Linked DNA regions of Lonchura striata. The protein of the gene in region 1 interacts with the protein of each later gene in a biochemical or structural test. Links are inferred from orthologs where the notes say so. Each region holds a gene or a part of one and is shown in the gene's direction. Other genes may lie near its edges.

Region 1 (7,079 bases):
AAGATGGTATATTTGGGATAAATTGCTTTAAGTGGCATATTTGTGATACCAGTATAATTTAGGCAGAAGTTTAAGTAATTTTTAGAAACATGAGTAAAATCCTGCATCACAAAGTACATTTCAGGGAAATATATTAGTTCCATAATTGCTTTCTAGTGCTGCATTCACTCTGTCTCAGAAAGCAATATGCATTTGTAACATACACTGAGAAATGTCTATGGTTCAGCTAAAATCAACAAAACTAAAAATAATCATGTGCATTTTAGAAGATGCCATGTTCTTTATAACCACATAAATTAATTCCACCATCCTCATAATCAGATTCACATACATAATGGAAGAATGTAATTTACTTCCATTCTCCAGAGGTATACAAAGTATTTTTTTTTTTTTTTTCCTTCCAGAAAAAGGTTTTAAAATTGCATTGTGTTCTATTCACCAACATTACCCAAGCAAACAGAGTTATCTCTGAACCTCTGGGTAGCATGGCATGGAAAGATTGCACTCAGAAATCAACTGGGCTTCTGTGTATGAATTGGGAAAACAATCCTACCCAGAAGAAAGATAAGACCTAATGAGAGATGATAAGTGTTGGGAAAATAAGCTTGATGGAAGAAAAGGAAGTGAAAAAACTTTTCCATGCTGAGGACAGAAAAGGTCTTTCGAAAACTTTTGTTAAGCATGACATATTAAACATATCCAAAATGTTATCCAACAATAACATGAACATGGATCACGTAAAATGGTGTTATCAAAAGATCTTTCATCTAAAAATTAGGCAATTTATGACGCCAATATTGTAGAGGAACTCCTAACAAGAAGGACTTTTTATGTCTCCAGAGGATTTTAGATTTTGAACTCAAAAGGAAATGGATTTTTCAGTAGAACAGTTCATCACCTCCGGCTACCTCATATGAGCCTTAAGAATATGTCAATATGTCATTTGCCTCCTCTCATATCAAAAGCCTGTAAAATAAAACATAAACTTTGTCTGCATAGTTTAAAACTCTTTTTCTTGAATTTCCATTCTGTTTTGAAAGAGAGATTTCACTCAGAAGATGCTAGCTGTCACAAGGTGGTGAGGACAGACCCATGTGTGACATTGTTGTATTGAGGTGTACCAGAACATTAATTCTGTATGCTGGCAAACTTCAGAACTTCCCCATTACCATTCTGAAAACAGATTACAGCCAACTGTTTAAATGTCTAGATGTGAGGAAAAGTTTCATTGACTTGCCTTGCCAGTTCTGTATTGATATTAGTCTGACACAAATTTTTGTATTTGCATGATCTTTTCTGTCTGTAGTATTTGTGCAGCCCTAAACCACGACATGAATCTTTCTTCCTCTACAGGAGCATTCTAAGGCTCTAGAAAATCCATTCTGACTATTACGTGTTCCCCAAAATTAGTAGAGGAAGTAAAAACCAGAGAGAACCGAAGTAATCAGTTAAACTACACCATGGTTCTGCTAAAGCAAAGAAACCACACTCATAAATCACATCTTCTGAGGATCCATCCCTCTACTTCCTTGTCCCCAACCTGCAAAAAGTGTGGTAGCAAAAGGAGTAGGCTCACAGCTACATCTCAGCATATTCAGGGATATTAAAAGACATTTGTGAACACTAAAATGTTTCCATTTTCCATATCCTCAGACCTTTGTACAACTTTTGAGCTGATGGTTCAAAGCCACTATTAATGACCTATCTGGCAAAACAGGAGTGAATGGCCAGGAAAAGCAGTGCCTTCAACCACCCCAACTTGAAAGAGTCCAGACATGACTGGTAGTAGCTCTTCCCCCTTCAGAGCTCTCACAGGTGCAGTCTGTCTTGTTGCAAGGCCAAACATGAACCTCTCTGCTTCCTCTTTGGTCTCTGTGAATCCACCGTGAAAAGCAGGTCTCTTCTGGCATTTGACAAGTCTGCATTTTTTAAAACATGCCCAGATTTGGAGCATCCTGTACCTACTAAGGGGAAAGTTTTAACTGGGCTTAGCAGCTATTCCTTCTGGAGATCGGCCACAAGGTAAATAAATGCAACATCTCTACCATGAGATGCAGAGGAAATCCCACCTACATCCTGACTGTATATCAGGATGAGACCAGTTTGCACTCTGGTTTCCAAAGAAAGGCTATTTTGGCACGTCAGCCAGCAGGGAGGCACCACAGGTTTCCATAGGACCTCCTCACTGTGGAGGATCAAACTGTGATCACAGCCTCACACCATGGCACAGTGTGACCTGTGGTTTTCACTGAACTACATCAACGACACAGGCCTGAGCCTCAGAGAGAAAACAAAACACAAGATAACAGCTGAGTAACTCAGTCCTTCTAGCTGCCCATCATCTTGTTCCCAATGGTGCCAGTGCACAACTCAAAATACCAGTGACAATGCTGGAGTTTCATCACCAGGTTCTCACAGCAGACAGCTCTGACATTGCCTTAACCTTGAAAATCATGACTGGGTGAGGCAGTGGTTCACTAGATCCCCTCCAACAATTGCTTGCCTAATTCTATTAAACCAAGCCAACAGACTCATAGGATAAACACCCAAATGAGCAAGCCATGTACCACAGTCATTATTTACAATGCACCACTGCAAAGCCTCTCTATCTTGAGCAACACTAAAAATCCTGCCCGATTTTCAGTTTCTGTTTCCTTGAAAAGCCTGAAGCTGTGTTAGAACACCATAAATGGCAGCAATCACAGGCTTTACACCAGGGTTGTTTAACTTACCCTTTGATAAGCAGCAAAACAAACTACCCTAAACAGTAATAAAATGAAATCTACAAGAATGAACTCATAAGGATAATCAGCAAAAACTCTGATCCCAGACTGAGGTCCACCAGCAGAGGTTGTGGAGGCAAATACATAACTGTGAATGGCATGTCTGGAGATATTCTGACCCAAGAAGTTGCAAAGCAGGCCCAAGCTGTATCAGCAGACAACTTGGTACTGCAGCCACGCTGTACTGCTTTACAGACTGGAATTCGCAGCTGCTCTCATCTGCACCGTATTTGCTTCACCTTAAAAAATACTTCACTTTAAAAATTGGATTTTAAAGTATTTTCCATTATGTGACTCTGAAGGCCAAGGATGCATTTTGAGGAACCAAAGAACACTAACAGGACCATCACATATCCCACGCTGTGTGGGTTAGTGCTGGCACACTAACACAGTGACACGGGGGCATTCAGTATCCTCAGATTTGCATTTATCAGTACTTACCTAGACTTATATCCAAGTATGGATATATTTTTATGAAGGCAAAAAAGAGAAGATAAATATATGGCTCATTAGAGTACTTGCTCATCGCATAAAAAACCCTTTAGAAACGCAAAAGCCAAGTGCTGATTTTGCTCCACTCTGGGGCTCACTGCCCTGTGCCTAGACTGACCGTGCCGCTGGGGTCACGCCAGCGACCAGCACGGGGAACTCTTCCCTGCCTGGGGAGCCTTGGGCAGGCCCCGGGCCTCGCACAAAGCGCCTCAGCCGGGGCGGGCCGGGTGGCGCGGGGGTCGCCGCTGCGCTCCCGTCCCGCCGCGCCGGGCCCCGCCATGCCCGGAACACAAACAAACACCGCGCTCGGGGGCGGGGCCAAGCGGCTCCCACCATCTTGGGGCCGGGGGAGCCCGGCAGGCGGCTGGGTTCCCCAGCCCGTCCCGTCCCGCCTCGTCCCGCCGGGGGCGGGCAGGGCTGTCCCCGCGGCGGGGCCGGGGGGTGCGCAGCCCAGCGAGGCCCCGCGGCTGCTCCCGGGGCCGGGCGGGGAGGGGTGAGAGGAGGAGCCAGGGCGGCCCGTGCGACAAAGCCCAGTGCGCAGGGAGCCGGTGACCGGGAAGCAGAACCGCGCCGGGCAGCCGCGGGCGGACCCACCGGAGCCCGCTGCCCCACGGGGGGTGGGAGGCCCGTCCTGCCGCCCCCCCCGGCTCGGGGGTCGGGGCGGCCGCGGAGCGGAGCGGGAGGCGGCCGGGCTGCAGCTGCTAAGCCGCTTAGGGCCGGGGCTGGCATGAGCCTCCCCGGCGGGGCGGCTGCGGGCTGCGCGCTGCGGCGGGGAGGCTGAGGGCGCGGATCCGGAGCGGGAGGAGGCGAAGGAGGGGCCGCGCTCCCCCCGGGAAGATGGGGAACTGCCTCAAGTCCCCCACCTCGGATGACATCTCGCTGCTGCACGAGTCCCAGTCGGACAGAGCTAGCTACGGAGACGGGGCTGAGCCGGATCAGGAGCCGCCGCCGCCATATCAGGTAGGGGAGGGGGCGGCAGCGGGGCCGGGGGTCGCGGCGCCGCTCGCCCGGGGCCGGTGCGCGCCGCCCCGGGGGCCGCCGCCGCCGCTCCGGCGCTGGGCGGCCCGAACCTCTCCCTTTCCGCCCGCACGTAGCGCGGGGGAAGCCGCTTTGTCTCGGCCGGTGCCGGCGCTCCGGGCGGGCGGGAGGCGGAGGGCAGGGGCCGCCCGGCCGGTGCCGCGTCCTTTGTTGCCGCCGGCGGTGACATCACCGTCTGTGTGATGTCCCCCGCACCGTCTGGCGCGGGGACGCTCCGGGACGGGGACCGCGGGCCCTGCCCGGGCTTAGCCCGGGCCCGCTCGCTCCGCTCCCGTATTTTTAGCAGCATCTGATCCCCACTGAGTAACTCGCCCAGCGCAGCGGATCCTGTTTCCCTCCGTCCTGTGGGGCACCGGCGGGGAAGTGTTTCCCATTGTTCGGTGGGGTTTTTGGTTTTTTTGTTTTTTTTTTTTTTGTTTTTTTTTTTTTTTGTCTCTGGGAGAATCTCTTAATTTACATCTTGATGATGAATCAAGGGGGAAAGAAGGAAAAGGCCGAGCGTGCTTTGATGGCTTTGCTGTCAGCGGAGGGTAACGCCGGTGTGGAGGGAGGATGGCATTGGTGTCGAAGCCTGCGCTTGGCCGCCTCTGGAAGGGATGGACACGAAAAGGGAACCTGAACTTGGGGTTGCACTTGTCTGCTCCCGGACATCTCCTCCCCCACCTACAGAAATGCGTACTGACCTAAACAAACGGTCTACAGCACTGAAAAATGAAAAGGAAAACCATCCAGCGATAGAACTGCACATTGTATTCGAGTTTTGAAAGTATTTTATTGTCTGGGATAATAGCATACATACCAGAGGCATCTACAGAAACACACATTCTGGGGGGTAGGTGTAACTTGAGAGCTGATGTTTTCTAGGATGGGAGTCATTCCCTAATTGCAGAGCTTGATGTATAATTAACAAAATTGCAGGAAGTATTTAACCGGACAGGCATGTAATCTATAAATGCTTTAGCGAGTTCAAGAATTCCACCCTGATAGGAGCCCCGTAAGTGTTGAAGAGAAGCCCTGCACGTAGCAGCCCTTGCTGGTGCCCTGAAGCTGCACTGATGTTTCTTGGCAGTGTGTGCCTGATTGTTTTGTTTGGGTGCAAAAGCTGAATGTCACAATAAATTTCGTGAGGATTTTTTCTGTTCTGATTTCTGAACTATGTCTGCTGAAGTAAATAGAAAGTGCTTGGTGGCGGATCAAGTTTTTTGTGTTGTTCTAAATTAAGCCTGAATGGTTTAGAAGGTGTTGTATGAGGTTTAGAAGTGTGTTGTATTTTTGTCAAATCAGCATAACAAGTTTGAATGTTTGTGCTGTTGATTGCATTTATATCTGTGATTATAGGAAGACTTGTGAAGGTTTTTGTCTTCTTGTTCTTCCCTTTGAAAGCAACCTTTTAGCTCTTGCAAGAGTCAACAACCACGTAAATGCCTTATACAGGCCTTCTAGTGTGGATGTTGAAGTAGAGAAGGACTCTGTCGTCAGAGGTTTTTAAGATTTTTTTTCTTGATGAGGAACTTGTCTGTAAGTGTGGATGGTTGACTGAGAACACGACAGACAGTAAAATAAATGAACCCACAGGTGTCTATTATCGAGGAAGTGTATTCATAGCAAACCTTCCCTCAGCTGAAGAAGCTGTGCAGCATCAGGTGATGTGCCCACAGGCACTTGGCTGTGTTGAACATCACTGTCTGTCCTGAAAACTCCTCCACTGATCCTGCCAGTTCCTAAAGCTTCACCTTAGGGTAGCCTTTAGTGTCTCATAGTCAAAATCAAAGCTACTCTTTCCACAGGTTTTGAGCCATGATGGATTGTGACTTTAAAAAAAAAAAAAATAGGTCTTAGCTACAATATTATGCAATATCTGTGCGCTTTAGAGGTTGAGGGGATTTATAATTTTAAATTAGTTAATATTTACAAGATACACAAAACTCTTAAGTAGGAACAATTGCTAATGCTCCAGTATTACTTCTGTGCTAGAAATAAGTCGCCCATTTTAACTTTCAAGTGGCAGCTCAGAGTCAGTGTTGGAAAGTTGTGGCCTTGTTCCTGGTAATGACTTCTTTCAGTATCTTAGCCAGAGTTAGTGTATAATGAGTAGACATTAGAAATGAAAGCAGGAAAGGGGATAAAGCAAGTTGGAAAACTTACTTGTGGCAACTAGCCTTGAGAAACTGGAAGGTGAAGAGTTTTAAAGCCAGCTGCTGAAATATCAGCTGCATATTTTAGAAGAAAGTAAAATCTGGTGTCTGTTGCTGTTGGGTTTGCAGCAACAGTATGTCAACTTCCTGAGTAGCTCTTGCAAGGTATGCAAACTAAGGGAAGGAGGTTTGCTGGGGGAAGATACACAGTTGTAGAAGATGACTTCTGTATTATTTTGACATTTAAAGTATTTTTTTGTGTTCTGACAGGATTGTGCCAGGGATGTTCATGTGAGACTCCTGTTATGACTTAGTATTTATTTACCTATTGAGTTCCAACTGCAAAATGTACCCCCAGTAAAAATTGCAGTATAGCATGTGGAATTTCTTTGATCAGTGAGTGCTATTAAACTGGCTGTGTAAAATTCCTACTTCCAAAAGTGAGGTTGAGACTTGCATTGACAGTACAGACACGTAGAATAATGTGAGAGGCTCTGCAAATACCTGTCTCTTGGTTCCTGTGGCAGTACCTGTTACCAGCTGCTGCAGAAAGGCCTCAGAGAGGAAGCATCTTTTTAAACAGATATCTGAATTAATAAGAAAGTGGCCTCTTAAAGCATCAGATATTTTC
Region 2 (7,947 bases), about 330 kb from region 1:
CTATTTCCTTATGAAGTTTGTTGTAATAATCTAAAATGGGTGCCAGAGGGAAAGACAAAAAATTGAGATGTCCTTTAAGTCCAAAGCCCTTTCTCAAGCTCCCATAGAGGTTTAAAACAGATACAGACAGATCTCTTAGAGCCTCCAGGCCAGTGTTTGGCGTATGGACAGAAAAGCTATGGATGTTCAAGATTTAGCCAGCACAGACAGTAAAGAAGTTTTAACCCTTTCAAATGCATAACCTATTGAGTTTACTGTTGAAAAGGATTGTAATATTTTTTCCTTTTTTTCTTTTTCCTTTTTTTTTTTTTTTTTTTTTTTTTTTTTTTTTAACTCCTAAGGATACATGGCACATTTAAAATTTAAACTTGACAAAATAAGAATAGGTATTCAGCATGGAATGACTCTAAACTGACTCACACAATGAGATGGTGACCTAGCAGGCCTTTTTCCTTCCAAGAGATTAAGACCTATCTGGTGGAAAATGCATCATAGATTAATTAAGTGCCCATGTATTAGTGGCTTTATCGTATGACTCACTAATACTGAGCTAACCTTAATATAGGATTCTGAGAATCTTAAGCCAAGGATTTTATTGATTTACATTGTTCTAGTGCAGGTAGTACTTGAGTTTAATGGATGAAGACTGCACAGAATTTAGAAAAATCAAAGATTCAAGACTGATGAGGTAATCAAAACGTATTGAGACAGAAACCACCGGAGCTGGGCCAGTCTCTCAGCCACTAGAGGGCAAAGCCACAGCACTGCAGTCGGCAGCGCCGTCTGCTCGCCTCTTTCTAAGGATGTTATCAGCGAGGGCGTTTATTTTACAACAAAAACTGATTAAATGATCACTAAGCCCTTCACTACGAACGGCGTTAGGAATGAATACTTAGAGTATTGTTTCTGTCAAAGTGTGGCAGGCAAGCAGTTATTAGCAACTGCGCAGAAAAAAAGCCAACATTTTCTTCCATGGAACTGTGAATAAAAGCTTCAGTCACTCAAGAGGTTTGGACTCTTAGGCTCACAGCACAGCCCTTTCCTACTCGAGATTTTGCATATCAGTAGAAGGCTGAGCACTTTTATCAGGAACTATGTTGGGAAAGTAATTAACATTTTGCTGCAAAGTTTTCTAGTTTTTTGACGGTACCAGATCAGACTGAGATTTCGGAATGTTTCAATAACAGAGTTTGGATACATCAGAGCCTTACGTGCAATCCCCTACCCAAGTCAGCCTTTGACCTTCTAATATCAAGAATTCTTGTTCTCTCTACTGGTTCTTGCCCTCTCCTGTGCAATGCATGTTTCAAGCACCTATTCTCTGCTCACACTAAATTTCCCACTGCACTTTTCAGAGATCAGGTGTGGGTCAGCTTTGGGTGGACCTGAGAGACTGCTTTGCACAAGATCAATGTGCTGTCTGTGACAGTGGCCAGAAGCAGATGCTAGAGGAAGAGTTTAGTAGCAGGAAAATCATATAGGCACACATATCAGGAGTATCCTCCCAGCTTCCAGCAATGCATGTCTCAGGCTTCCTGAGTGAGAAAAGTTATCTTGGTATGCAATATGCTACAAAGGCTTTGCCTTCTGTGAACAAGTCCACCCTTCTCTTCAACCATTGTAAACACTGCCTTCCCCACGGCTGCTCCCATCATGTGCTGAACAGCACATGAGCTGTGTCAGATGATGCTGAAAGGGATGACAGGTTGTTACTTCTTAGTGCCCTAGGAAATCAACTTCTGCATAGACAAGCAGCCAGAATTCACAGCTATAGACACAGAGTTCTACCTCCCGGGGAGCAGACTTACAGGACTGAACTCCTGCTTCTGTTAAAATTAAGTTTTTACAACCTCCTGATTTTGACATTCCCAGTGCTGGGAAATCCAGCTTGTCCCATCCTAAACTGTCCTGGTTATTAATTACCTTCCCTGGTAGAAGACCTCACAGGAAGATGAATACATCTGCATACACTCACTGAATCTTGAAGGTCCTTAAAATGTGTGATTGAGTCACCCCTATATCTTCTTTATTGACACTGAAATAGGTTGAACCTTTTCATTTTCAGTCTAAATCATTCTTATTGATCTTCTCTGAACCATCTCTTTTTCAGCTTCTATTAAGGAATTAAGGAGTTTAGGTATCAGGAGCAGTTGGATTAGTACCAGAAAAATAAATAGAGATATCTTTCTATATTCTCCTGTTTATAAGCCCAAGGATTGCATTATCCTCTTGGCTACAGCATCACACCACCTGCTTATTTTCTCCTGATTATATGTGATGATTCTTGAGGTTTTTGAGCATTAACTTATAAAAGCACAAATTCTCTCATCCTAAAATCACTCCCTCTATTCCTTGATGCATGTTTTTACATTTGGCTGTACAGAAATGCACATTACTTGCTATCAAGCTGTCTCAGCTACTTTGCAGCATGACTTGTTATTTATTAATCCCTATTGCTTACAACACTTGCAAACTCTTTAAGTGATGATTTTATGTTTTTCTTAAAACTATTAATATCAATACAATGCAGTGTAGAACTAATTGCCATAGGATGCAGAAACACATTCTTTGATGATGGCTTTTTATTTTCCCATTTTGTAACTGTCAGTTAGTTAGAGTCTCAACAGTTCAATAAGTGCTGTGATGAGTCGGTAGCATTTTGGCTTCTTAATTAAAATGCTGCAAGTTACCAGAACAAAGATTTTGCAGACCTACTTACCTTCATCAACCAAACTTGTAATGCCATTTAAAAAATAAAATTATTTTCACAAGATTTATTTTCCACATTAATTTGTAGTTATTGTGTTTCCACTCTTTAATTCTTTTTCAATCAAGTAATGTAGATAATGTCCCATTTTATTACCCAGAATTCTTGTCAGTCTGGCAGGTTGTAATTACCTTGGTCACCTTGTTTACCCTTTAAAAATATTGGTACAATATTTCATCCAGTCCTCTGGAACTTTAACAGTGTTCCAAGATTTATTGAAAATCAACATTAATGGTCTAAAGATACTCTGTGCCAGTGCTTTTAAAACTGTTGGATGCAAGTTACCTGGACCTGCTGATAGCCAACTTCATTAGCTTCTGTTTAACATCCTCCTCAGTGCTTGTTGTAATGGAATGTATTTCATCATCATATGATATTTGTGTATCATATGGCTCTTCCCCAAAAAACAGACCAGGAATAGTTATTGAGTTCTTCTGCCTTTCCTACACTGTTGTTAACTGTTCCACTATTTCTGCCTAGGAACAGAGTGAAGACAGTATGAAACTTCCTTTTCTCCAGGTTTCTGCAAGTTTTACCACATAGTTTAAAAATCCTCTTATTTGTCCTTAACTCTGCAGTTCAAAGATTACTCTGGCATAATTTTGAATTCCCTGGAACTCCTAGATCCCAGAGTACACACATTGTTACATACATCTTTGTATTGACCCTGTAACTCTGTGCTACTCCCTGCAACCAGGGCACCTCAGAGGTTCCCTTCACCTTTCTAAGTGTGGACCTCTTTCCCCCTTTCCCATCCCCTGCCTTTTGCAAATTGGAGTATCCTCTTCTCTCCTTTATGCCTTTCTCATAAAGAGCTGGGAAAAATACTTGGGAAAAGAGGTGGCAAGCTCAATAGTAAGGTGTCCCGTGGGATAGTATCAGGCACCATTTCTTATGACAGTGCTGTGGAGGCCCACAGACATGGAAGAGCTGCAGATCCATTTTGGAGAGTTTGTAACTCGGACTCTTGTGCCAAGTGAAAGGTCATGGTCCATGGTCTTACAGCCTTGCTGTGGCTTGGGATTAAAATTATTCCTTTGGTTTGTTCACAGTGTTTCTCACTATCAATATTGAAATGTTTCTTCTTCTAGCAGAGGGAGCACATTGAGAACACAGGATGGGCAATTTCCCTGCTCTAAGCTCAGGTGTCTGGCACCACAACTGCCTGGAGCAGCTCCTGGAGTTTGTGGAGTTTGCTGCTTCTCTAGATACATCTTCATTAGGAACAAGTCATGAGGCATCCAAGCTACCCAGGGGGAATGGGGAATGAGACCATCACCTTAACTCACAGAAATTATTCCCATTGCTCCTAACTCCTGTTTTGCATGCTTTCATGCTTTGCCTTCTTGCAAAACAGCCAGTTATGATACCCTTCAGGAAAAACCTCTCTGTTTTTGGTGAGAAGATATCCCAGTAAATGGCTGTATCCAGAGGAATAAAAGCAGAAAAAAATTATGGTAGCAATATGCCTCCGTGAGGTAGATCACAGATGGCAAAGCTATGCACTTGCATGCATTTGGCCAGAGGTTATGGAGTGTTATGCCACTCACTCTTTAATTAATTTCCCTTTTTTTGTCAGGCATATTGTATGTTTATCAGTCTGAGGTGCTTCATGAGAACCATTTTGAGGACAGTAATGGTGTATTGCACCAATCTGAACCCCTCATCTGTGCTTCACAAGCATGACAACACTAATTGCTAAAGAGATAGCAAGTTGGGGTTAACCAGGAATGCTTTATGGGAGTAAATAAATTCCATCTCCATTAACATGCTACTTCCAGCTATGATGGATGAGCATTTTTTATCTCCTCAGCTATTTGCCCATGGATTGATGATTCAGTTGATTGGGAGTATCTCATATTTTTCGCTTGAAAAGCACATAGTTCCACCAGAATCAATGAATAAACATTAAGTGCCTCCCTTTCATTTCAAGCAGGATGGGCTGATGCTCTTGGAGCAAGGAGGCCTAGTTTTTATCACCGGGGCTCATTACACTGAGTTCACTGACATATGTGGCAAGTTTATGGAGAAGCCCAACCTGCTGGAAAGTGATGGGCTTCCTGTAAGTGTGAAGAAGAGGGAATGGCCCTGCAACTGCATTAGCAGCCAGCACACTCACCTTTCCCTCCTTCCTGGGCTGACATGGCACTGCTGCAGCCGGGGGATCACGGACCTGCACAAAGGTGAGGGGACAGCGACTCCTTCCCATTCCCCTGGCACCAAGCGAACCTTTCCTGAGGGGGAACCGAGGTGATGGTTTCCTGAGGCGAGGGGTGGGGTGTTCCTGAGGTGAGGGCTTCCTGAGGAGGGCGATGAGGGGTTCCTGAGGCGAGGGGCGAGGGTTCGTGAGGCGCTGGGCGCTCGCTCGCCCGGCTGAGGCTGAGGCGGCGGTGAGGGCGCGTTGTGCCGCTCCGCAGCCCGGCGCCGCTCCGCAGCCCGGAGCCGGCCCGCAGCCCGGAGCCGCTCCGCAGCCCGGAGCCGCTCCGCAGCCCGGCGCCGCTCCGCAGCCCGGAGCCGGCCCGCAGCCCGGCGCCGGCCGCTCGCCGCCCGCCCCGCGCCCGCCGGGCCGCGGCACACTCGGGGAGTGACATTTCCTGGAGTTCCGAGCGCCCGCAGCAGCGAAGAGTCCCGCTGCCGGCATGGGCGGCCGCCTCCTGTTGGAGAGAGAACGGGCGGGACTCCGGGCGCAGTGTCACGCTTTGGCACTGTCGGCTCGCTATATCGCGGCTCCTGTGGGGAGCGAGCGGGGTTGTTGGTTGTTGTGCGGTTGGTTGTTTTTGTTTTTTTTCTTTCTTTTTTAATTTGTTGTGTTTATATTTTTATTTTATTTTATTTTATTTTTATTTTATTTTTATTTTTTAATTTCTGGAAGCCTCTTTGCTGAGGACTGAACGTGTCTGCCAGCGGACGGCTCCGGGCCTCGCACCTCTCGGGGCAGCCGAGGGCGTCCCGCAGGATGGTGTCCCTCTCCGATTGTGGAGACACTCAACATGAAATGGCGAAATAACACATGTTCGGCTCCCAGCTGCGAGTTCTTCTGACCAGGTTTCGTGGAGCGATCACACTACACACATTGCAGCGGCTGCCCGGAGGCGCGTCCCTCGGTCCCTCGGCCGCAGGGCACCGGCAGCGCCCGGTAGCGGCGGTGGGTGCCCGGTGCCGCCTCGGCCTCTGTGCGTGTGTGTGGCTGTGTGGCTGCGGAAGCCGCGGCCTCGGCGAGTCCCCGCGGGGACAGAGCGGGCGGCTGCTCCCGCTGTGCGGCCGCTGCGGGGGTGCCGGTGAGGACCCCGGGCCCGGTGCGGAGGTGCGGGCGCGGACCCCGCGGCGCGGGGCGGGGGCGCGGCCGCTGCGCGCCGCCTCCCCGGCGGTGCCGCAGTGCCGTGCGCTGCCGCCGGGCCCGGGCAGGGGGCGCTGCTGCCGGGCGCTGCGGCGGCCTTGGCCGCGGAGGCAGCGAGCGAGCCCGGCTGGCGGCGGCGAGGGCGCGCCGGCCCCCAGCGCTCCCGGGCGGACCCGGGAGATCCCCCTCGCCATGCAGACCCGGCGGCGCCTGCTGCCTCTCGAGGTGAGTGAGCGGCGTCCGGCGCGTCTCCCGCGGGCCCGGAAGGCCGGGGTACCCCGCTCCCCAGGCCCCCCGCCGCCCGCAGCGAGGCCCCGCGGGCGGGCGGGCGGGGAGGGCTCCGGCGCATCGGTGGAGCCGCCGTATCGCCGACAGCGCCCTGGGCCTGCCGGCTCCGGGCGCCCCCTGCCCCGCCACCCTCGTCCTCGGCACGCCACCAAGGGGAAGGCAGCGGTCGCCCCCCAGCCCTCCCCGGCGGCCGCCGTGGTCCTTCGAGCCCTCTCCCCGCCGTTCCCCCTCCGTCCCCGGGCGTCCGGACTTGGTGACCCGCTCGCCCGGGGCACCTTTCTCCCCGCGCCGGCGATCCCGGGGATGGGGAAGGAGCTGCTGCTCCCCCCGGGACGCCTCGGGTGCCGGCGCGGGGCAGGGCGAGGTTGTGCCCGGGCAGCCGCGGCTGCCGGCCCGGGCAGGGGAGGATCCCTGTTTGCATCTCGTGCCCTTTTTATGGCCTGATCTCCGCTCTCTCCCCGGGCAGGGAATGTTACTTGCTCATCGCGATGTGTAACAAGTCACTCCTGCAATGGTGGTAGTGGTGGAGGGGGATGGGGAGAGCGGGCGGGATGCGTTTTATAACATCTCTAATTACGTGAAATTGTGGTCATGTCTCACTCTAAGAATAACTGGCACTCTTGGCATGTCAGACTTTTTGCAGAGGTAGGCTAGTTTCTTGCTCATAAATGTTATGGCTAAATATGTGCCTGTGGCAGAGTGTGGCTCAATAAATGTTTTTATCTTCTTAACCAGATAGAGAAGCAAGTAGCAGATAGAAATTGTTAGACTTTATGTTTTCTTGTAAACGATCTTCTTTATTTATAGACAGGATGTTCCTTATTATTTTATGACAGAGGTTTTTCAGAGGGTGGCATTTTTACACATATTTTCATTCCGTTCAGATATTAAAAGTTAACTGAGTTTCATCAATCTTCTATTAAGTGTCTCAGATTAGAATTTCTGAATAACCCTCTCTTCAGTTTTTGGGTCCAGACTGAACTCAAACCTGGAAGGAACCGTGTAAAAACAAATAAAATAGTAATAATGAAAAAGATGGTCTACCTGAATAAAAGCCTTTCTTTTCTTTGGGCAGCATTTAACTGACTAGGCAAGGCTTTAAAACATTGTGATTAACTTCTATTAGCAAATAATTTTTGATTGCATGGAACAAACTCAGATTTTAGATACACCTTCAGTGGCTGAAACATCCAAATCCTTTGTTACTGCTTGAACCTTCTGTGTGCTTTTTATAAAGTTACGGCATGTGATGCAAAATGAGAAGATCAGTCTCCTTGACCCAAGAGAGACAAATTTAAAAATCTCTTCAGAAGTTTGGGGAATCTGAAATGGAAGCTGAAGAAGGGTCTAAAATTTCAAACAAGCCTCCCCCTCTAATTGAAGCCCTGATCAGCCCTGAACAAGTTGCCATGTTCTGACACACTGTGATTTATTTGCATTGCTTTATGGTGCCTCCTTTAGTGTGTGAGAAAGGAAGAAACCCACCCCAAAACTGCCATGCTGACTCCTGATATTGGGTGTTATTTTTGTGTGTTAGCTTTGAGTCAGTTACGAG

The links.
Region 2: the proteins of RNF11 (region 1) and ZFYVE9 form a complex in vitro, tested with the Homo sapiens proteins (2 studies listed by BioGRID). The link is inferred for Lonchura striata from reciprocal best matches to the Homo sapiens genes RNF11 and ZFYVE9.

Annotation. Positions count from the first base shown.
Region 1 is NC_134611.1:10,220,227-10,227,305, reverse strand, and holds the start of RNF11 (RING finger protein 11), read left to right. Parts: upstream 1-3,882; 5' UTR 3,883-4,112; coding exon 4,113-4,235; intron 4,236-7,079. UniProt on the Homo sapiens protein: Essential component of a ubiquitin-editing protein complex, comprising also TNFAIP3, ITCH and TAX1BP1, that ensures the transient nature of inflammatory signaling pathways. Promotes the association of TNFAIP3 to RIPK1 after TNF stimulation.
Region 2 is NC_134611.1:9,886,206-9,894,152, reverse strand, and holds the start of ZFYVE9 (zinc finger FYVE domain-containing protein 9), read left to right. Parts: upstream 1-4,911; 5' UTR 4,912-4,950; intron 4,951-6,200; exon of another isoform or gene 6,201-6,329; intron 6,330-7,019; exon of another isoform or gene 7,020-7,037; intron 7,038-7,947. UniProt on the Homo sapiens protein: Early endosomal protein that functions to recruit SMAD2/SMAD3 to intracellular membranes and to the TGF-beta receptor.